Linked DNA regions of Schizosaccharomyces pombe. The gene in region 3 interacts genetically with the main gene of each other region. Each region holds a gene or a part of one and is shown on either strand. Other genes may lie near its edges. The genes, in order: grc3, cip2 and csx1.

Region 1 (8,893 bases), on a different chromosome or scaffold from region 3:
CAGTTACTGGAACAAGTGTACAAACGTGAGCAAAAGAAGCTGCAAGCGCTTGAAGACGACTATGCTATTTTCCAGAAGCGCTGTCTTGTCAAAAAGCTTAAACGTACTCTAAATATAAAAGACAGTGATGAACTTTTAATCAATCCTAAACGACGTCCTATTGAGGTAAAGCCCGCCGCCCCTGTACCTACTCCAGCTCCACCTGTAAAAACTTCTCCTCACCCTGCTTCCTATCGCCCACAACCTACGCGAAATGTCGAAGTTCGACCGTTATTAATGCTTGATGATGTTCAATCAGCCCAAATTACACAATTTCAGATTCGTCTTCAGCAACGTCTTACCAAGAAGGAACAGCTCGATCGTAATTGGGTTGACCTTTTGGAGACGCCTAGTACCGTTATTCATACTAATTATCCCGATTCGTTTTACCGAAACATTATTCCATATTATTCAGGAAAAGAAACGAAACAATCCCATAATCAACTGAGTATTCCTTCCTCAACCCCTTCGACTCCATTATCTGATAATGGACCCACCTACTCTACACCTCACTCTTCCCTATCTAATTTTAATACGTGCGATTCACTTTCATTCTCTTCAAATAACTCTTTATACGGCTATAGCACTTTATTACATCCCAGAAATCCCATCTGCGTTCGACAACGAATAGGACGTGGAGGGCGTTTGATGTTGGATCGCACTCGTGCATTGCCAGTACATCGGTTGAGTAAACCAAAATCTCGTGTTGAAGATCGATGGCTTTTTGACATTCCCTTTGATGCCGATGACACAATTATACTCGATGATGAATCTGATGCTTCTATAATGTTTCGAGCTAGCTTGCTAAACGATGATATGGGTACTCAGTCATAAAACGCTTTTTATCTATGGTATTTATAATATTTCCATTACTAAAGATTTCGATCAAATTTTATTTTAACTATTTCTCCTCGACTAGCTTATTTAAGATTTTGATTGATTTCTTGAAGGGATTTGGGGTATAATCTATTTTTCTCTTTAGAAAAATAGTGTTTATTCATTTTTATGATTTTTGTTTGTCCAAATAAAAAATTTAATAGGGGGAATTGACTTGAAAGCATAGTCAGCTTTTTTTTTGGCTCACAAGATTTGATTTTGCTTCTACAGTCCAACCCTGGTTTTATGCATGCATAGATTCTTTATCGTCGCTAATTTATTTGATACTGTACTAGTTGAATCGGTGAATTGTTACAAAATTTTTGGTGATCCCGCTTTTTTAGACTTGCATGTGGTTAATGACTTTTTTAATGACATTCAATTCATTGTTCAGCTTTTTTAATTTAGCATATAATAAATATACGATGTACGAAGTTTATGTCTTAACGACTTATCGAATTCGTATTCAAATTGAATACATTTTTAGCTTTTTAAGTAGTTTTGGAAAAATTTCAGACTAAGTCATTGCGTTGGGTTGTTGATTATATATTTATTGGTTTCTTTCCTTTTTGTTCTATAACCATTTACTTTAGTTCTCTGAGCTTATTTTTTAGAAAATCATCCACTAACTATATGTCTCTCTCATTGCTACAAGATACAATAGCAAATATGAAGAAGAGTCATATCGAATTTATAATGCTCACTCTTAGTTTCCATAGTATGTGTTAATAAGGCGTACTTCTAGCAATTATGATTGCAGTAGGAGATTTAGAAATTATCGACTTAATTGAATATCAATAACCTTTATCTTTTTATTGTTGTTACTTTCAATTATAAAAAACTTGAAACAACTTTTTTAACTGAACTGACAAATTTTAGGTTCATCATAACGACTTTGGGGATTCAATTAAAGTCATTAAGTATATGAATGATTAATAGATTTACTGTTTAGCTTTTATGAAAATAAAAAACTAGTAATACTCACATGCATACTATTCACTTCATTGTTTACACTTAACTATTTACCAACAACTTCTTTAGTCACGTAAACTTCAACACTACCAAACGAAGATATAAAACATCTGCAATAATAAATCAGTCAAGGTACTAATTGATATATTGCTTTGGTAATATTACCAATTAAACATTCTTTTATATTTTAAATTTTAAAACAACACTCTTAACAGCCGCTCGATTCCATTTTAAATGCACAATTTTATAGCGAAAAGACTATTCAGGCCCAAAAACAGGCGCTACAAATCTCTCAAACGATGCGTACGTTCGGCGACGTATCGAATTTATTGTAGAATGGTCGACTGTCTGCAAAGCATCATAAACATGGAATATGCCAATTTGCATTATGTAAAGGAATCATCAAACCTTGAGCGTTCTTCAACTTACAAGAGCTCAAAAATTCAAGATGAAGCAAAGCAACTGTTATATGATTATGTGTACATTAAAGAAAAGTTACTGACAACATCTTCAAACAGCTTGACTCATTATCAATGGTATTTAATATACAAACATACGTGTCGCTGCTTTCAACAAGTCGTTCGTATAGTCTATTGGTTTTTGGGAAATCAAGTAATACGAGAGAATTTCAGTATCAAAAAAAGAAAACCACACAATCACATTCCCCAATTGCTAGAACAGTGCACTTGCATAGCTGAATCCTTCGAAGGGATTTATACGAAAAAGCAAATACTATACTTCAAATGTTATGGCACTTTCAAAACGTGGAAAAAAATAGCCAATTTTCCTCACCTTTAGAGAAAGGAAAATTGAAAAGTTGAATGATTACATACAGATACACAACCATTGAAAATGTACTCTGAATAAAATCAAAAAAACTCAACAGCAAAACCATCTCTAAAAGTTAATTAAAATAGTCAATCGGTAATCCGGAATATCGAAACCAAGCTTCAAACCGTTAGTCAGAATATGCTAAATTACCAAAGTAGATTCTTAAACATAGTGAAAATTCAAATGCCTTATAAATTTGCATATACAGTGTAGAAAAACTCAACATACCAGTGATATGGCAGTAAGTATGAAAGTATCCTAATGCATAACTTTTGCTGCCAACAAAAGACCATCGGAGCTTAACCATCGATATGCAGTCTCGCAATAAGCATAGTACTCAATGTTCCCAGACCAGTTCGCCGAAGAACGTAAATTGTACTTGCATTGGAGTAATCTAAAACAAATTCAAATCACGATTTTTTCTTAAGAAACAATAAATATAAATAAATTTCACTATTGTCCTTTTTAACCGCCAAAAAAAAATAAGAAAAAGTATATTTCATATAGTTTGTATTCAGCTGCCCAAAATAATTTCTAGCAGGTATGCAAAAAGCGTAGCCGTCTTCAGAAATTCGTAAAACATAAGATTTGGGTATCATCCAACGAAAGTACTACGACGGATAATGTTACGGCGAACGCGCCTACGATGAGCGCCAACAGCCACCCGATCGTGATTTCGATCGAGGTATGGCAATTCCGAGTATTGTGCTAAACGGTGATCCAACATTGCGTACACTGGAAGCTCTAACCTTCCTCTTTCAAGGACAATTTTCAAGCTCTTTGCATAGGCATCTTTAATAAGCTCAAGATTAAGAGGACCAACAAAATGAAATTCGTTACGTTTGAGATCAATAGTGCGTAGCACGATTAAACCTAGGCAATGAGACGTATTGGGATCCAAAGGAAGTCCATCATTGATGATTAATGGTATCCCTTCAGGACTACTAACAATCCGTTGTGTGTTACTGTTATCTAAAGAGGCAGTGTCGCAGGCATAAAGTGCCATTAAAGTACCATTAATAGTTTTCGCGACATCATTAACATTAAGAGGTTCACCTATAATATTAACAGCATCTATTCCCTTAGAAGATCCCTTAAAAGCTGTGGCTATAGGTTGACAAGCTGTCAAACTTGTCGTAAAGTCCCACCTCTGTAAATTGCAATTGAAATACAGATAGGAAAGTAAGCCTAACATACGATTATCAGCAGAGGTAACCTTGTTAACGTTGGGATCAGGCAGATACTGCCAAGTTGATTCCAAGAGGGTAAGTTGAAACTCATCTCTGCTTGAAAGAAAATCAGGCATATATTCTTTGTGCTGGTAAATACTCTTTTTTTCACGATGACTTGATTTCATGTCTTCACGACTCATGTATACAACTTCTGTTGGTTGACATATATCAACAATAGAAGAAAGAAGCTCAGCACCACCCCCTCTGATCCAACCTGGACAATTTATTATCAAAGGAATAATCTCCTTTTGGGATATCTCTTGATTAAAAATATAATCTTTATATTCAGCAAAAAGACGAGTAACACAAGCAATGTAATGATCCGGATCTTTCTGGGGACTTATATCTCCGAGATGCAAACGTAACATGTAAGTAGGAAAGAGCATTCGGGCGAAAACAGGTCCTTGCAATGGTGAGTTAATATAATATAATGAAATGTGCCCAGAAGGTACGACTTCGGGTTGACCAGGGTCGAGGTCAAGATATGCAATGTGACGATACTGCTGTAAAAGCCTATTGGTGATGTATCGTGAAAAACTGCTTTTACCGGATCCTTTAGGTCCACAAACCATAAGACGAGGAACAACATAGTCTGACTTGGAAGTGGAAAACAGTAACTGGTTAGAAAAAGAACACCAAGACTCCGGAGTTATCTCAAAATTATTTGATATTGATGAGGCATCTTGCAAAAGATTCTTAAAAGAAAACAAACGCTTTGCAAATGGAAGGACACGAGCTATCTTAGAGAGACCATTTTCATTTTCTCTAAAAGCTATTACAGTTTCAAAATTTGGGAGAATATCTTTGGGCTCTAATTCATATTCATGCTCTTTTGGTGAGTAAGAGGGAACTGCAAAGGAACGAAGGTTAAGGGAATCTTCTTCATATTCGGAAATCTGCATAGCAGGTAATGCATTGTCTATAGCAGAAAATACTGGTGTCGCAAATGCTAACGGAGCATTTAAAGGAAACCAAGACATACAAGCTGAAGAATAGGTTGCACCAAAGAGCTGAAACTTCCCTCTAACGCTACGAAAAATGAAGGTACCAACCATTGCTAATTTTTGATCTTTATGTAATCCAACGTATAGCGTATCTTTAACCCTGAATGAATTTTCTTCCGTAATTTTAATCACCGGAATGGCATCGTTAGACGATTGTGGGCTATGTGGAACGTTTTCACTTACGGTTTCGTCGTCCAAGTTTAAAGGTAAACTCGGAGAAATCGTTTGAGGACTAGCAACTGAGAATTCAGAGTATTCCTGAGGATTAACCTTGGACCTATTTATATCAGGAGTTATTTCAGAATCATTCTTGGATGACTCTGAATGGAGCTTTGTTCTATGATCAACTCCTGGGACAACCACTTGTACGAGCGTGTGCTTGTAAGAAGGAAATTCGCCTTCAGTTTTCATTTCGTCTTCATATTTGTCTTGGCTTTCTTCTTCCGAAACGCTGCGCTTTTTCCCCGATGAATTGTCTTTCTTTCTGGCTGCTTTACTTAAAGTCAATTGACGCACAGCGAATGCACTGAGTGGAACTGTCATAGAACTGTTAGAATATTATCCTAGAAAAGATATAAGAGAGCCAATACTTAAGACTAACTAAGACACTTACCATTTGAGCTCTCAATACGTTGACGCTTGACCATTATGGTAGAAGCTTATTAAATAAATAACTAAGTTTTCCTTTTTTTTTTTAAAAGTGCAATTCACACGAATGTGAACAAGCAAGCGCTTTGGATCTTAATTCAATTAACAACAATCCACCATAAACTAACAATCAATAACAAAAGTTAATTTAGAAAATTTAGCTATGTTTTGTAAACAGATAATAAAATTTTTTCTTCTTATTGCACAGCGAGAAAGAGTAAATAGAGGAAATACCAAGTAAAGTACGATATCTGTAATTTGGGAAATAGTGATTAACGGTATATTTTTATAACAAAATGTAACAGCACGGTATTCCTTTTTTGGTAGTAACATAACGATAATACCAGCTTGCTTTAACTAGTAGCTTCTTATTAATATTGAAACAATGAAGAATTAATCGTTATACCTTGAAAAAAAGGAAAGAATATAATACTCGTTAAAAATCAGTTATTGAAGTTAATAGATATTTAGACTATAACTGTAGTGATAATTATAATTGGGACGAACACCCGAGTTTTTTTTATTCTATCAGTTGACCCAACAGTTAGGTTATGAACTGTTGCTTTCGATGTGGATAAAAGTATTAGAATATAAATCATTAGTCTCTTTGATTTATATATTGAAAATTTCCACAAAATATGTGTCAATCAAAGTCATATCGCCCACTCAGCTTATGCATCATTAGGAAACTCAACATAAAACCAGTATATACGTTTACTGCGTTATTAGATATTCACTATTGCAATGTGTCTTTAGGTTATTACTATAACAAACCATCGTTCTGAATCACAATATTTTATTATGCTATTCATTATTTTGTAAACATTAATTTTGTTTGAATTGAACCATTAAACAAAAAGAAAAAATGATAATTAAGCTTGATTCATTAAGAATCAAGATGAAGGAGAAATGAACGTAATAACGACAATGAAATTGTGAATTTAACAAGGCGGAACAACGAGTTTTTCGATTTCATTAGTTGATTTTAAGTTGTCGTAAACAATTTAAATCATTATTGTTTGTGACTTGAGTTCCATTAAAAAAGACAAATAATTAGACTCGCATACATAATAAATAAAGACTCGGTCCTCAATGCACTTTATCCAACATCGTAGAATACATTGGTTGGCAATTTTTGGTAATTGAAAGAATAAGTTAAGCATATATTCCATAACCTTATAGTGAAAGAGGATGATTAAAGAAAATTGGTGCTTATTTTTAAAAAAGCCGCAGCTTCTCTGCGTTGGTAATTTTGGTAAAGAGGTTTTCCAACTGGAGCGACAACTACATTAATAACGCAATTAGACTTCGCTTTCAACTTCCATTTCCCCCAAGGGAATGTCATTATTATCGTTGGCACCTCTAATCGCTCTCCCTGCACCTTCTAATCGGGTAAGTAAAGAATCATTCATACAGTTGGTTGAATACACATACCTAATATAAAAGCTATACCATTCCTGATAAATTTGGGCATCCTTTTGAGAGCACCTGGACATTCTGATACGATTAGAATAAATTACAGGAATATTAAACAAACCCATTTCGTAAAAGAAAAGAAAATTGCCTATAACAAAGAGTGAAGAGGCTACAATTTCGTAGCCTGTCCCGTCGATATGTTTGTCAAATAAATGCATCAAACCTTTCGTTACAATAACGACACAACTTTGTACACCTAGAACTTGAAAAAACCCAGAAAACATATGCTTAAGTGTCCAGAATGGAAGACGAACTGCGTGTTAGCGGTCAGTAATGGTAACTACATAACTTCACATACCATATAATAAAAATAAAAGTAAAGCAGCTGAAATACTGCATGTAGAACAGATGAGAGTCTTGTCTAAGTTCACATTACCGAATTTGACGCAACCAAAGAGTACAAAACAAATGACTACCCATAATAACCAGATTATTACAACCCATTTTTCCCTTGAGTTGTACAAGCCGACCGCAGTTACCTTGACACATTGTGCCACTGCCTGGTCCAAGTTTCAAAGAAGCCTAATGAGTTAGTGAATGAACGTAAGAATTGACCTATCGTGTCACTTACACCATAAAGAAATAAAAATCATCAGGCAAATAGCACACCACACTCCAAAATATACCCATTCATCTTTGCCATAATCTTTAAAGAGAGCGTCCTTATACGTTAGATAACAAATTGCGGGTACGTTTAGCACAAAGATTGAAATGAATGATAAAAATTCTTTTTTCAACGGAGAGGTAGAAGAATTATCTGCCGTCCCGGAAGAATGGTTTTCTCTATGTGTGTTAGGAGGATTGCTTACACGTGCGTGATCTGTTTAACTTAATATGATTGAAATACTTTAGTAAAGAAAGAACATGTTTTAAAATGTGTGCATTGCATGGCCGATTGTAAACAATGACCAAAGCATGCAATTTGACACGATGGCAAGTTTCAACTTTCAATTGAGTAATTCCTTTCTTATTATCTACAATTCTTACCTGAATATGGAGGTAGTGTGCTCTCTTCATCCGAATTATATTCTGGAAGTAGGCCTTTTTCCAAATCAATTTCATGTCCTGTCTTCAATTCATCTTCTTCATCTATAGAACTTTCCAAGGAAGCGTAATTATTCTTCATAATAATAATATCATTCCTTATTTAATAAAATACATGCGCGAATTAATTGCTGTGATTGCGACAAACGAAACAGCAAAATCAAGAATATTCACTCTGGAGTTCAGTTCCCGCCGTTCAACGTAAATAAATGAGCAATACTCGTTTCAAAGAAAACCGCTTTTTTAATAATAGCAAGTGAAAAGTAGAATTCCAAAACCCATTTTAATGTAATTGCCTCTGACACATTTATTTTGTCACTGCCCTTTTTATTCACTCAAGTTAGCTTTCCTTATGTATCATTAAGAAGTCCGCCATAAATCAGTATAGATGTTTACTGCAGTGTTTGACACTCAGAAAGTTACTTAATTCATCCTACGGAGCTACTAGATTTCTGTAAGCTACGCAGTTTGGTATCTGATTTAAGGATACGTAGAACTGCGGTGAGTTTTCCTTGTGGTCTATTATATTACAATACACAGGTTGTATAAGTAGCAACAGAGTATAGGTATTGTATTAACTAGGTTATAATGTTACCTATCACTAATATAGCTCATAACTGAACCTCGTTCCTCAGTTCAGTTGTAACGCTATTTATAATATTTCTAAATAGTTGTTATCAACGGGTATCTATGTATATAGACGGATAGTTACCCGTGATTATCAATAAACGGATCTTAGCTAGTATTCCAACATATGACATATAGTGATAC
Region 2 (8,143 bases), 3.2 Mb from region 3:
AATAAGTATCCATTAACAGAAGTATGACCCATTAACTAGTTTTGAAACTAAAGAATTTTACGAAGGTCAACAACATAATGCAAAATTAAAGCCAATTTCTCTGAATGGATTTAAATCATCATAATCATAAGCTTTTAATAAATTGTAAAAATTTAAAAAACCACGTCGGCATTTTTTTGATACCTTACATCATACCGGGCATTCCACCCATGCCACCCATTCCGGGAGGACCAGCAGGGGCCTTGGACTCTTCAGGAGCATCGACGATGGCACATTCGGTGGTACCCATTAATGAGGCGACTCCACTAGCATCAACTAAACCGGTACGTACGACCTTTAGGGGATCCAAAACACCAATTTCATTTAAATCAACAAAACGATCCTTAGCAATATCATAACCGATGTTAAATTCCTTGCCATAAAGCTCCTTAAGTTTACCAACAATCAAGTTACCCTCTAATCCAGCATTTTCAAGAATGGTTTGAGCGGGACGAGTGATAGCTTTGCGAACAATTTCGACGCCAAGCTTTTGATCAAAGTTATTTGTAGGAATGTCTCCTAAGCGAAGACTAGCCTTAACAAAAGAGGTACCAGCACCTGGGAGAACACCCTCGGAAACAGCAGCCTTAACAGCATTCAATGCATCAACAATACGGTCTTTCTTCTCGTTGACTTCAACTTCACTGGAGCCTCCAACCTTAATAACAGCAATACCACCGCTCAATTTGGCCAATCTCTCTTGAAGCTTTTCTTTTTCGTATTCAGTGAGATTAGGGTCGGCCATGACACCACGAATCTGTTCACAACGGTCGTTAACTTTAACATGGTCACCAGCACCTTTCATAATGATAGTGTCTTCCTTGGTGACAGTTACAGAGCCACAGCTACCCAAATGATGGGGTTGAGCCTTTTCGATGGAAACATCAATTTCATCATTGAACACGGCACTATCAGTCAAGACGGCTAAATCTCCAAGCATATTACGACGGTTGTCACCAAAGCCAGGGGCTTTAATAGCAACAACTTGTAATTGCCCACGAAGCTTGTTTAAGATACAAGCAGCCAAAGCTTCACCATCAACGTCCTCTGCGATGATAACTAAGGGACGACGCTGCTGAGCGGCAAGCTCCAAAGAGGGAAGAATGTCTTGGACAGCAGACACTTTCTTTTCAGAAAGAAGAATAAGAGGATTTTCAAATTCAACCTTTTGTGATTTGACATCGGTAATAAAGTAAGGAGAAATGTAACCACGATCAAACTTCATACCCTCAGTAACCTCTAATTCGTCGCTTATTGTGCGCCCTTCTTTGACGGTGATAACGCCTTCTTTACCAACACGTTCCATGGCTTTAGCAAGAAGCTCACCGATATGAGTGTCACCGTTAGCAGAGATGGTAGCGACTTGGGAAATCTCTTCAGAAGTAGTAATATCACGCTTATTGGCTTGCAAAAATTCGACGACGTTATCAACAGCAAGTTGAATTCCCCGGCGAAGGTCCATAGGGTTGCAACCGGCAGCCACGTTACGAACAGTCTCAGAAAAGATGGCACGAGTTAAAACAGTAGCAGTAGTGGTACCATCACCAGCAACTTCATTAGTCTTGCTTGCAACATCCTGAACTAGTCTTGCACCAAGGTTTTCGAATTTATCTTTCAAACTTACACTACGGGCGACAGTTACACCGTCCTTAGTGATTTTAGGGGAACCAAAAGGTTGGTCAATCAAGACATTACGGCCCTTTGGTCCCAAAGTTACAGATACGGCACGAGCAAGAGTATCGACACCGGTGAGTAAAGATGCGCGAGCATCAACACCAAATTTTAAGTCTTTAGCATATGTACGAACTTGAGGGACGGCAAATCTGCCGGGGATTCGACGACCAGCAATTCTTAAAGGTAGACGAGATACACTGGAAGAAAGGAAGCTCACCATTATGTTTAATTAATGAAATAAAATGAAGTTGTAAAAAATGGTTTTTTTTAATGCACCCAAAAAGAGATATAAAGAAATGTAAAGTTATCTAACGCAAATACAACCCACACGTTAGGAATATAACCAGCTAGCTGTCCCTGCAAAAATAAATGCTTGCAGCTTTTAGATATATTATTGGTTTTAAAATACGTGAAATACTCTTCACTATTTTCCGCTTAATGAAATTCCAAACAAGGCTAGGCAGACGATAAGTTAGCTATAATAGACATTATATATACTGTGACTGCCTGATATTCTAGAAAGAACTTTGATGGGATAAAGATTGACATGCCGGCAAATAGCCAATAGAAAAGCGACCAAATTTTAAGAATAGGTTTGGTAGCTTCTTGAAGAAAAATATCGAAAAATAGTGTATTGCATTGTTTATCGCTAAACGGCTTCTAAAAAATTAAAACATATAGAGCAAGAACGGGGAGCGTTTTCATTTAGTCGATTTACAGTCATTAAAACCTCTAAAAAAAATGCGGTGCTCGACTATGGTCAATGTGCCGTTTCTTCGTGATTATTCAAATAAGAAAGATCAACTCAATTTATCAAATTAAAAAGTCGTAAATGTTCTATACTTATTTAAAAAGTAATACTAAACGATACAGCAGATACGAGATACGTTTAGACAAAATCATCAAGTATCCACTAAAAACAGTGCGAAAAAAAATAATAATAACAAAAAAAAAATAGTGCAATCATATCTTGACGAAAAAAATCATACAAATGACAACCGAACTCTCATAATCGAAATTGAATTCTTTAACACATTATCAAATCAATAACACGGAAAAGAATTTAGGCACAATTAGCCAAACAGCCATTAAAATGAAGCCATCATTCGTAATAGTTAAAAACCGAGTGACACTAACGTGAACAAGCTGGGTCCGTACAAAACATATGAGATATAGAAATTGAAAAGGTATTGATAGTAACGAAAGGTCCTACACATAAGAACAAAACACAATCAAAACAACAAATTATTGCAAATAACACCATTAACATCCCACGTAAGATCGGTTATCGTAAATTTTATTTGAGACTTTTGCTGTATAGCTCAAGCATCGTATCCCAGTATACGAATCGTCAAACCGGATTTGCGATACAAAAGTTTAAAAAAATCTCACAAAAGAAAATTCCATTTTATTCCTCTCAAAATAATCATAAACGTGACTTTGAAGAGAGAAAAATATCATCTATTAAATTAAATCCTTTTCGTTTTACAAGAATCACATTATAGTTTAAAAGCATGAGCCCGATCACATGCACATCCGAAGTGAGTATGTAAACGATATAAGCATGAAAATCATGTCCTCAATTGAACACTAGGTCGTAAAAATGGATAATTCATTGAGATAATTTCACTCGTCGTTTTTATGTACAAAGTATAAATTTGCTTGAAAGCGCTTATTATCGTAAGGTAAATGAAACTTAATAAAACCCGAGACATAGCCAAAACAAGATTAATCAAAAGCAGGGAAAAACAAAAAATCCAAGACTAATTCTTTGTAAAAGTTCTGGATCCAATAGCACCGGTGTTTGATGGAGTAAGGCTTGCAAAATAATCGTTCATCGCACTACCGTTTAAAGTATTTGATGAATTAGTCGCATTGCGATCCAGTGGAGAGGAAACATTTAAATTAGCAAAAGGAGTAGCAAGTTCTAACGGAGTAGCTGGCATACTACGTATGTCGGAAAAGGCTTTAGAATCATTTAGTCCTCTGAGAGAACGTATGCTATCCGCAAGATGCATAGAGGGAGCGGGTCGTCTAAGACTTGAAAAATTACTAGAAAGACCACCGGACGAGAAAAGACCATTGTCAAATAAACCAGAGGAGCTCAAGTGATTTGCAAGACTTGGTTGGCTCAAATTGGAAGCACCTAAAGAAGAAGGATTTAAAGTACTGGCGTTTGGGGCCATCAAAGGAGAGTGGTTAGCACTCGAATTATTAGCGGGAGTAAAATGAGTACTAGGCATGGTAATAACCACTTGCTTAGCTTCACCGTCACCAGTAACTGAATGATTGAGATTGAGACGGGAAGCTAATAAGGCAGCAACCCGACGTTCTTCCTGGGTGGTTGAAGAATCAAATACAAGATCATTAGTGTTATCGCTGCGATAATAAAATAACAAGATATGAGAATATACATTGAGTATAGCTGGATCATTCAAATCAAAATCAATGCCAGCACCTATATTGGCAACAGAAAACGGAGATTTCAATTGATTTTTTCGTTCTTCTACAGCGCGTTTCTCTTGTTTACCACGCTCAACACGTTCACGCTCCGCAGGCGGTAGTTGACGCTTCCATTCAACACGAAGACGACGACCAGTAATTTCATAGCCATTCAAAACTTGCACAACCGTTTTGGCTTCCTCTGGAGAATGGAAATTAGCAAAGGCAAGGCCCCTAAAAACTCCGTTATCAAAATGATAATTAAAAGCGTATGGACGTGGGATGTCTAATGCAGTGAACACTTTAAACAACACTTCTTTCTTCAAGGAGAATGGAATATTTTTAATAACAATCGCGGTAGGAATGGTCTCTTCATCAGGTTCAGGGGGTGCCGTCAAAGTTACAGAGTTGCTCATACCTCTAGACAGAGCAGTGCTAGAAGCTGAGTTTGGTACATGTGAATGGGATGGTTCGTTGAATGCATTTAAACTATCAAAAGGGTATGTTGTTGAGGAAAGTAATGAGGTAGTAGCAGGTCCAGAATTTTTGAGTACATCTAAAGCACTTGCAGACCGGAGAGAAAGGCCTGCTGAATTAGTTGCTTCTTTCCAAGCAGTTTGAAGACGAGTTCGACGAGGCTTTGCAGATGGATTATTGGCAGTTGAAATTTCAGGATCCAGCATTTGTTTAAGGGAACTTGGTAAAACCGTAGAAGAACCATCACCCAAACCATCATCTGCATTGTTGTGGGAAAATATGCCAGACCCTCCCATTCCAGCACTGTTAACGGCTGCATCAGAAAACGTAAACTTATCACGACCATATCGGTTCTCGAGATATCCTGATCCTCCAGGAATATTAAGACCTCTCATTTCTTCATCTTGAGCTCCATTTAATTCATCTAATTTGGGGAAAAAGTTGGACCGTTTTCTACGCAGAGATGCAGCCTCAGAATGGAAAGTTAAAGGGGAAGAAGCAGGAGAAAGAGTATTAGTTGACAAAAATGCCTGCGACAAAGGCGTTAATGGCCTTTGGCTTGTGCCCTCAGCCATATCGACACTAAACAAGTCGTAACTTCGTGTGGTGCGGAGGTTAGGTATCCGTGGACACCACCAAGGGCGCAAAGTCAATATACTACACCATATTATTGAGGTCTTAAACCCATAAATTCAAATATACCAATCTATAGAAGCAAATGTAAAAATAATTATTATAAAATGTATATACTACATACTGGTGTTGATTTTTAAACCCCCACTAGGTAACTTTTTGCCAGGCAAATAACAGGGTACTGTGATGATAAAACCGAAAGTCCATCTAAGAGCTCTTAAAAACACTGCTGCAATGATAAAGACTATTAAACTGTCTAATAATTCGACCACCTAAAACAGAACAAAATGAAAGTCCTAATTTTTTGTTTTTACTTAAATTCTTGTAAATTTATATTTTTATTAATTTGATATTCCATGAAATATCATTCGAATTTTAGCATATTAGATTATAGAATGAAATATGTGAAAAATATCTTCAGTGAACCTTAGGATCCAAAAGCTTCTCTCCCACAAGTTCTATTTTTGGTACCCTAGCAAATCCCATTGCAATATGACATAGAAAAAATTTAAATAAACTTGCATAAAAAGAATACCTTGCTCGATAACTCATATGGAAACTTCACAACCTTTATTAAAAAGAATGAATCATATTATTACAGTTTCGTCTATTTAATCCCTTTATTTCCAAAACCTCAATCCAAGTTTTCATTTATCTTTGCAAAAATTCATCTTCCAAATCACCACCAGTTGAACTTTTTTCCTGTACAGGAACCCTGTTGGAACCTGAAGATGGTATTTTGTGTTTTCTGCCACTATTAAAGCGTTCTTCCATCTCGGCCCAAATGCGATTTCGAGTTTCTTCGGTCTGTTCAGATGTGCCTTCTGCGTAGAGTGAAACATACTTTGTTAAAGGGGGGTATTCCTAAATAGGTTAGTATCTTAGCCAAGTTGATAGTTGAAATGAAGTCGAAAATACAAACATACTTTAATATACATAAGATCAATTTGACATTTACGCATCGATTTCTCACACTGCTTGCGTTTCTCATCATCCATAGTTTCATCCTTCAAAGATTTTTCCAATTGTTTAATACGTCGTTCTGCTTTTTTACGTTCTGAGAAAATCAGTAAGCAAGTTCACTGAACAAAAAATGCTGTTTTTATATATGTTTCATACCAAAAAATCGAACTTTTTTGTATCTTTCAAAAATCTTTTGCTTTTTATGCTCTAACTGTGCCATAGACAACTGCTCTTGTAGACCCAAAAGAGCTCGTTCATGTTCAACACGAATGTTTGCAGGCAAATTCTCCTTAAAGGAAGTTAGTTTTCTTATTCATTAACATAAAAAGGAAGGTAATATTTATTACACACTGAAACCGCAGATGTTTTTAAACCAGCAAAAAAATTACACACCTTTTTCAATAATCTCTCATTGTCGCGAATTTTTTTCTTCAGCACAGAAAGTCCAGGGCCCTTAAATTTTGGCATGCTAAAACGCTCAATAAAATAGATAAATAGAAATTCAAACCATAAACAATTAGTTCTGGTGAAGAACAGTAGTAAACTTAAAGGACTGCAATTTTTACAGCTGCTAGGTTCTCAAGTGACACGTTACTTTTATATATAAGTTTAAGCTGGTAATTATGATTAAAATATTTGATTCACTCACACTTATTCAAGGTAGATTTATATGTTGTACTTGTGGAGTGATTTAAAAGCTTAGACTTTCAACAGTACATCAAAGAATCGCTTGTTCGACACCGAAGTCACCCTAGAGATTAAAAAGTATGCAAAAGATAGTTAATCTAGCAACCGGTCTGTATTTTAATACTACTATTGTTAAGAGAATCATCAATAGCAAAAAGAAAACCTTTGAATTTGACAGCCTCTTTTCAGTCCGTTGTTAAGGCATTTCTGTTAGCTATCGTTAAGCAAATTAGTGCTAAACGTTATGTTTGACGAGTGGTTGAGATTGAAGAACGCTTCGATCAAGCTCTGTTTAATGTTTATGCAGTATTTTGGGCGTTTCTGGTAAAGCCTAATTGTCAAATTTCTCTTTAGAGAATGTTAAATAGAAGTAAAAAGAGGAATGGCTGTTATTTTTGGGTTAACGGCTCCTCAGATGAGATTCGATATGTCGCCGTCAAAGCTTCCCCTAAAGTAAATTGGAAAACTCACATTATTTGGAGATCATTGAAAAATGTTAAATGTATAGACTCTTTTCACGGAAACAATGAAATATTGGGTGCTGGTTCTTCTACCGGAAATATATCATTGCTTTCTGTTAAGCATCCAGAATTTCAAGCAGTAGTAACACCTGGATATGCTCGCCCTTGCAATAGTTTGGCATTTTCTGAAACTGAACATCTTGTTGCTGGATTTGCAAAATCTCGAAACGAGTCTTCCTTGAAGTTATGGGACTTGAATTCATTACTGTCTGACCCGAAGAGTAGTCCCTTAATGCAGTCTTCTACTCTAGACGGAGTTTCTTCCGTTTGTTATAAGAAAGACACTCCTCTTTTGCTTACCGGATCAACTTCGCGTTCTGTCCATATAATTGATACTAGGCAGCAACTAGACTCAGTTTCTTCCGTCAATACGCAATATTATAGTAATATAGTTGTTGATCCATTTTCTCCTAACTATTTTGCCGCAAATTCTTATGATGGTGACATTGCGATTTTTGATACTCGATACTTCAAATCCGATAATTATTTACAAATTATTTTACGGAACGAAAATAAAAAGCCCAAAAATCCACAATTATTTGCACTGAAATATTCTGAATGGAAACCTGGACAATTGGCTGTTTTGTCAAACAATTCGATTACACTTCGTCAATTATTGCCTTGTGTCAATGGAAATGAAGGATCCGCAAATAATTCTGTCTTTGTAAATTATGAGAAGAAATATCCTGTTAAACCAAATTCACAAT
Region 3 (7,464 bases):
CAAATCCAGAGTAACCTTCATCTTGAATTTCGTCTTCCGTTTGAAGCAATTTCTCTTCTTTATGATTTTGTGCCAACATCAGTTGGTCCCCTGTTTCAAGTGAAATGTAATTATCCGTCATCATGGCAATGTTTCTCTTTCTTCCTTCTCGATCCTTTAACTCCTTAATCATTGCTTCCTCAGGAATGCCTTGATTAAGCATATTCCATTCCAAACTAGTATTAACGGGTAAAGGAGGTGACGATCTTGTTTGCAATTCGCTTTCTTTGGTCGAGGAATCCTCCTCCTTCTTTGTAAATTCTGATGGTGTCTGCCTACTTTTTCTCTTTAACTCATCCACATAAGCATTGGAGTATCCACTTTCATGCGAGAGAGCATCCATTCTTCGCGATATTCTTTATTAATTAGATAACTAATACTTGGACTTAAAACATTTTACTTACAAATCATCAACCGAATGAAAAGAGCTTTGCTTTTTTACCTTTGGAATCAAAGGGATTTGAGAATCCTCCCCATCGTCGTCTCCTTCCTAATCAATGTTTGTTAATATAACAGATGAATTGGTAAAACGTTTTCCAGCAAAAAACAACTTACCTCGTTCTCATATTTCACCCTAAATTTTCCCGAATTTTTTTCTTTCGCTTTTGTTTTTCTTCTATTTGCATTTTTGTCTAAGCATTGTTAGTACACTTGCGATAATAAGTTCTATTCGAGCCCAAGCACTTTTGCGCTTTTAAGTTCTTACTTGATTGAGAAACGTTTAAATTTTCTTCATGCTTTTCTTCCTCATTGTCGCTCGTTTGCACGATTTTAGGCTTCGCCTTTTTTAAGTATCGTCGCATGTTGGTAAATGGGTGCTACTTTCTAGGCAAACATATTTCTACCAATCTTTCATATTGAATAGCTATTTTTGTAAAAAAAAAATCATATAAAGTCTTAATTAAAATGATGTTTTTATGTTCTGTGAAAATTAGAAAGGGATAAACATAAATGTCTTTACTTGGGCATTTAATATTATGGCACATACTGAAGAGGTGCATCGGATAATGCAAAGCATCAGAAAAGTATTTGTTCAATTGACTTACATTTTTTTCGACTAATTTTAGAGAAATGTGTTTGAAATTCAAGTTTCAGATTTAAAACTTTTAATTGAAAAGCTACAATCGACAAGCTACCAATATCTACTACAGTCACTGGAAAATTTCCATTATATAAGTTGAAAACAAAAACAATGCTTTTAATTATTTAGAAAATCAGAAGAAAAAATAACAAAATTATTTTTTGGAAAGGACATTTTAAAATAAAACATATAAATAACTCATCGATCCAAAAAAAAGATTTGGACGTTTGAAAAACCTCAATGGAAGTTTTCATGTACATATGTGCATTAAGGAACAACAGCAATGAAAGAAAAATAAAACAATCATAAATAAAACAATCCTTGGCACAAATAATATTCAACAGTTATAAAAAACATCACAAGAGAGATTTAACATACAAGAATAAAAACAAAACAAAATAAAAAAAATCACGAGAGCACCCTTCAGTTCTTTAAGACATTAAACTAACTTGATCAGGAGCCCTCGAAAACTTATACGGATGCCTTTGAAAAACGAAAATAAATAAAAAATTAAAACAAAAACATTAGAAATAAAACAAGAATATTCGGGAAATCCCTTCACTTAAGAAGAGAAGTGGAAGAAACAAATAGTAGTAGTAGTAATGCATTTCAAACATCATAAAAATAATTTATGAATCGCGTGACAAGCGTAGAGAAGGTTGCAAGTATTGACCAGTACAATTAAATGTAGAATAAGAACGAGGAGGCAAGCGACCTCTCAAGTTCAAACCAAAGCCGGATTTCTCCAAACCGTTTTCATTTTGCTCCAACTCATGACGGAGATCAATTAGTGAAGACTGACGCTCCCTTCCTAGGTTCCAAGGCCTAGAAGCTCTCGCTTGAAATGCTGAACCATTCAAAGAAGCAGGTTGCTCATCATCAACCAACTTTAAGGAGGAAACACGTGTTAATAAATCTTGAGTAGCAAAGGAGTTATGATTGTTGCCGGAAAAAGGCTGCAACCATTCGGGGAGCTTCACACTAGGCTGGACCTTTGCAGAACCATTAATTTTTGAGGATTGCAAAACAGAAGACTGAGGATACACCTGTCCGCCTACCAAGCCAGTGGCAGCTGAAGGGAAATGGGAAGAAAGAGGTGTCAAACCTGAGCCACTACCGGACAACGTAGGAGAAATGGAGGCTGAACGAGACAAAGGAGGTGGAGAAATGGTTGAAAAATTTACGGAGTTCATGCCATTGATTGAGGAAACAACGGAGTTTGGCAACAAAGATTGCGCAGCAGCAGTACGAGGTGAAACAGGTGCACTCTTCAAGCTAGAGCCGGATGAGTTTGAGCTGCCAGAGTTTGCTCCAATGACAGATTGATTCATACCGAAAATTTGGTTAGCGGAAAGAGTTCTGTCGAAGCCCTCATCTGAAACTTGGGATTGAGATTGAGACAAGGCAGATACAGGAAGCGTATTATGACCCCACGCGAGGCGGATATGAGAAGTACCAACTAAGGCACCCTGCATAGTGTTTATGGCCTTTTCAGCAGCAGATTTTTCACTGTACTGGACAAAGCCACATCCCTTGCCAAAGGGAATCTTGATGTTCAAAATTCTTCCAAAGGGCTGAAAGCAAACTTGCAAATCTTTCTCGGATAAATTGCTAGCCAAGCCACCGACAAACACCGTAGTGTTCAAAGGATCCATGCTACAAAGATCTTGATTAGGCTGGCGGTTAGAAGTAGAAGTAGGAACGATACCAAGGGCAGAATCGGCGGCGATGGAGGCTCTAGACTTTGGTGAAGCGACAGAGATGCGTAAGGGGCGACCTTGACACAAATAGCCCTGCATATGCATCAAGGCATGTTGTTGTTCTTTCTCACTTGAAAAGCGAACAAAGCCATATTTCCTGCTGAGACCGGTAACGGGATCGACAATGATCTTGGCTGAGGTACATGAGGGATATATGGAACGGAAAGTCATAAAAAGATCCGAATCCTCGGTAGTGGGAAGAAGGTCGCCAACGAAGATACTAAACTCAGGATCACGGGAAACAAAGTTGTTATGTTGAATGCCGCCACCAGTAGCCCAGTTAAGCTTGAAGGTACAGTGAGCACCAGGAATCATGGTGTTATTATACTTCATCAAAGCACGCTCAGCAGCTGCAGAAGAGGAAAACTGAACGAAGCAATAGCTGATAAGCGTTTCCGAAGAGGATGCTTTGGAGCGCATGACTTTAACGTTGACAGGTTCGTTGAGGGAAGCCCAGAGCTGTTGAATAAAAGTAGCGTCCATCCAAGGTTCCAGGTCACCCATCCATAAGGTGTCGCTCATTTTCGAGCCAACACCTGCTACATCTTGAAGTGGAGTGGAGCTAGGAGAACAGTTGAAAGGAGCCACAAGTCTCTCCAAAGTAGGAGAAACTAACTCTGATTTGCCCTCATCAACCACAGGGGAAATGGGGGCATTGACATCTGAATTAGAAGCTGACATTTTCGAGGTTGCTGGAATAGACGAATGCAAAGGGACGAAGGAAGTATCAAACAATGAAGAACGGCGATAAAGGCAGTCAATAGACATTTAAATAGATATCCAAAAAAAAGTAAAAGAAAGTAAGTAATATGAATGAACAACAAAGTTTCAATGAGACACAAAAGTCAAAAAACGTAACCAGTATAAGACAATGGGTGGTAGAATCTTTCAACGATGAACAAAATAAAGCTTAGCTTATAACGTACAGACAAATAAATCAAGGACGAAAAAGCGAGAGGTCTAAGAACTCTTGAGATGAAGAAATGCTAATAGAACAATCAAGAACAATTTAATAAAAAAAAAAAGAGAAATTTTTTTTGCTTGCGTAAAGTGTAACGGTAAGAGCAAAAAAAAAAAGATTCAGGAATAAAAGAAGTACTAAAACAAAGTGTTACAAAGATCGAGTATTAAAGAGGATTGGAAGAATAAAAATCAAAATCGATCTGAAATAAAAGGAAATTAATAAATGAGATGGTTTCGCGGTAAAAAGCTTGTTGAAGTGAAAATATAAAAAAAAAACACAGAAACAAAGTTATTCGATTGTTGATGAGACAAAAAGCGAAAATACAATCCTTAATGAGGCGTGAAAGAAAAATTCGTTAAAATCACTGAATGGGTACACGAAAAAGAAAACCTGATGGTTGTGATGAAGCAGGGTTCTTCAGTTTTTATTTTAAAAATAATAAAACAAGTAATACAATGTACGAAAGAAAAAGGAAACAACGATGAACAAGGTCTCTTCTGAAAATTATTAGGTATGAAGAATAAAAAAAAGAAAAAGAAACCAAAGGTTGGAAGAGAGAAAATAAAGAAAAGGAAAAAAGAAAATCGAGTCGAGTTAATCAATCACAGAAAGAGAAGAAGAAAAGAAAATAAAATAAAATAAAAATATATATATATGTGCAATAAAAAACGAAGGAACCTGACAGGGGGGACAGAAGTGTTTTCTTTGATGAAGTTAAAGAACAACAGCAACAATGACAAATATATATATATATATTATATTATATTATATATTATATAAATATAATATATATACAATGCAGGAAAAAGAGGTGTCCGTATATTATAGGTTTATATATATATACTGTGCAGTATATGTATGTTATAATATATAAAGAACAAACGAATCCTTTTGATATCGAGTAGTCCTTTTTTTCGCTAGTGATATAGCTAAATAGGAGGATACGGTATGCGAGGAAGTAAAAGGGAAAATTTTCCTTCTCGAGAAAGGTAGAGTTTGAAAGAGACGAGAAGAAGAATGGAAAAAAGATACCAAAAGCAGTCAGTAATATATAACCAAGTAAGGAATCTGCAAAAAGGTACGGAAAATTTAGAGGGAACGATAGAGTAGGGAAGAGGAGAAATCGTTCAATAGGGGAAAAAGAAGAAAAATGAAAAAAAAAGTGGTGATAGGATAGAACGCTGGAATGCTAGAGGAATTCGGTAAAATACAAATAAATAAGTCACGCAGCGAAAAAGAGAAAAAAAAAGTACAACCGGTTCCGAATGCAAAGCGAAGCAAAGCAAAGTAAAGGAAAGAAAGGATGAACCGTTGGGAGACGAGTGAAAAGTAAAAGTGAATGGGAGAGAGTAGGAGCGTGTCCAGACTAGGCAAGCACTTTAAATAGCGAGACCTTAAAAACGTATACACACAACAAGGGGGGTACGGTGTGTAATAAACACAAATGAAGTATGGGCTATGCAATCAGCTAGGCAACACAAGACAAGCAAGGCGAGGGAAAGTGGCGAAATCCCAAGAGAGCAATAAGGATGCGTAGCGAGGAAAAAAAGCGAGACAGCGATGCGCACCGGTACCGAAAACCAAAGTCCGAAAAATGGATGTAAGATTTACGAGGTTAAGAATCGAAAGAGGACAAGGGAGAGAGACAGAGAGAGCACAAGGCAGTAGAGAGAGTATGTGCGTGAGAGAGAGAAAATCAGGTAAGGATTGATGTGGGAGGATGGTGAGCGAAAAAAAAAAGCAAACCACCGAGAAATGGGTCTAGAAAAGAAACCGTTGCAAAGGAAAGAAAAGGAAATCGAATGAAATCGATTGAATGAATAGGAAACTTGGCTGGACTTTTTAAATAGTTAGCCGAGTGTTGCTAAAAGCGGTGAATGATGTGAAAGTGAGAAAGCGAATAAAAGAATAAAAAAGAAAAGGATGAAGAAAAGTGCAAGACTTTTCTTGGGGGGTTTGTTGATAAGGCAGTGTGTGATGGAATGGAAAGAGAGGGAGAAAAGTGCTTTGTTTGAAAGATAAGTAAACGAAGCAACAAACAAAACAAACTAAACTAACCGAACCGAGCAAAAGAAAAAAAAAATTACACAACAACCACAAAAAGTAAAGACACTAGGAGAGAGTAGCAAAAGCTTACAAAAACAAGTGGTTGAAAAAAGGAAGAAGACAAGAGTAAATTAGAATATACTGGATAGGCAAAAAAAAAAGAAAAACTCCCTAAAAAAAACACACAAGGGGTATTAAACGAAGTTTGTATGTATGTAGTGAAACAAAAAAAAAAAAGGAAGAAAACCGAGAAAAGCGGCGTTAACGGTGTTACGGAATTAACGGGGCGTTTGACGGTAATGAAAGTAAGTAGTAATAGTAGTACCAGTAATAGTAATAGTACTAGTAGTAGTAAAAAGGTAAGTGAATAAGAACCGGTTTAAAAAAAAATAGGAAAACAATACGATTCAACAAACACACGGCAAAGAAGCAATTTTACGGAATGAGGTGAATGCGAAAGGAATTAAAACGCGTCTTTTTTTTTGTAAACACAAGCAAAACAAACGGGGAAGACGAGAAAGAGTAGAAAAGACGCGTAAAAGCAAAGGTAAAAAAAGGATGGCAAGTGAGAGTAAGTGAGATAGAGAAAAAAGAAAAGAAAGAAACACACACACACACAAAAAAAAAAAAAAAAGGAAGTGTAAAATGGGAAAAGAGGAAAAATAAACAATGAAAATTTGAGAAAGGAAAAAAAGAAAAGAAAACGAAAAAGAGAAAGAAAGGAAAAATAATAAGAAGAAAAAAAAAAGCAATAGACAACGGAAAAGTGATAGCTCCGAACCAGTGAATGGATGTAAGAAATTGGGAAAAGGTCTCTTTTGTGAAAGGGGAAAAGAAAAAGAGAGAGAGAGCTTTTTTGGATTGATGGAAAGTGAAGTGGGAAGCGTATCTGGATGGGTACAGAAGAGAAAACAGGAATGAGAAAAATTAGAGAAAAGACAAAGGTTGGAGTGCGTATTTATAAGAGGAATAGATGGGAAGACTGCTAGGGAGCAACATAAGGAGGGGATCAAAAGATCGACCAAGCTTTTGTCCGCTTCCGTGATTTTGTTACGATGGCAAGGAGGAAAAAGAAAAAAACAAACATTAACGCACGTCATGAGCAAATGGGTTGTGACTTGCAGACATGAAAGGGGGGGCGAGAGAGAAGTGGAGAATGGGGACAAGAAACAGCGAGCCCAACAGCCTAAGGATAAGCGCACAGGCTCAGGAGGTAGAAGGGGAGGGTTGGGGAGAAGCGATTTGAGGGATAAGTAAGGAAGCGAGAGGAGGAAGAGGGAGGAGAGAGGAAGGAGGAAAGAGAGAGAAGGAAGCGGAGGGAGAGAGAGGAAAGCGAGAGAGAAAGAGAAGGGGGTATAAGAGAAATGGCAGTAGGAAAACTGGTGGTAATAGCAATAATCATTGTAATAGAAGCAGTAATATTAATTGTAGTAGTAATATTAATATTGTAGTAATAGGTAATAGTAGTAATATTAATATTAATATTGTAATTAATTGTAATAGTTATTATAATAGTATTGACAAAGAGAGTATAAAAGTGTTTTATTTCTTTTCACTTGTTTTCATTTCTTTTC

The links.
Region 1: of csx1 (region 3) and grc3, extra expression of one rescues a mutant of the other (dosage rescue), as found in Schizosaccharomyces pombe (one study listed by BioGRID).
Region 2: of csx1 (region 3) and cip2, a mutation in one rescues a mutant of the other (synthetic rescue), as found in Schizosaccharomyces pombe (one study listed by BioGRID).

The regions. Positions count from the first base shown.
Region 1 is NC_003421.2:2,180,515-2,189,407, reverse strand, and holds grc3 (polynucleotide kinase Grc3), read right to left. Parts: upstream 5,809-8,893; 5' UTR 5,602-5,808; coding exon 5,568-5,601; exon of another isoform or gene 5,491-5,567; coding exon 3,314-5,490; 3' UTR 2,686-3,313; coding exon of another isoform or gene 2,254-2,685; 3' UTR 2,019-2,253; downstream 1-2,018. Other genes in the region: NuA4 histone acetyltransferase core complex-Piccolo HAT module linker protein Epl1, read left to right, coding at 1-873; protein mug128, read left to right, coding at 2,254-2,685. UniProt on the Schizosaccharomyces pombe protein: Polynucleotide 5'-kinase required for both rRNA processing and heterochromatic gene silencing.
Region 2 is NC_003424.3:339,923-348,065, forward strand, and holds cip2 (RNA-binding protein Cip2), read right to left. Parts: upstream 5,250-8,143; 5' UTR 5,208-5,249; coding exon 3,477-5,207; 3' UTR 2,168-3,476; downstream 1-2,167. Other genes in the region: protein Mcp60, read right to left, coding at 185-1,933; efg1 (rRNA-processing protein), read right to left, coding at 5,917-6,129, 6,192-6,322, 6,385-6,517, 6,622-6,696; GATOR2-SEACAT complex ubiquitin-protein ligase E3 subunit Sea4, read left to right, coding at 7,273-8,143. UniProt on the Schizosaccharomyces pombe protein: Regulates global gene expression after oxidative stress. Interacts and stabilizes mRNAs and may regulate their transition between different cytoplasmic components after oxidative stress.
Region 3 is NC_003424.3:3,568,698-3,576,161, forward strand, and holds csx1 (RNA-binding protein Csx1), read right to left. Parts: upstream 3,649-7,464; coding exon 1,750-3,648; 3' UTR 1,310-1,749; downstream 1-1,309. Other genes in the region: spliceosome complex disassembly protein Ntr2, read right to left, coding at 1-395, 444-529, 595-671, 746-842; SPOM_SPAC17A2.10C (uncharacterized protein), read right to left, coding at 6,298-6,990. UniProt on the Schizosaccharomyces pombe protein: Regulates global gene expression after oxidative stress. Interacts and stabilizes atf1 and pcr1 mRNAs after oxidative stress, thus controlling their turnover.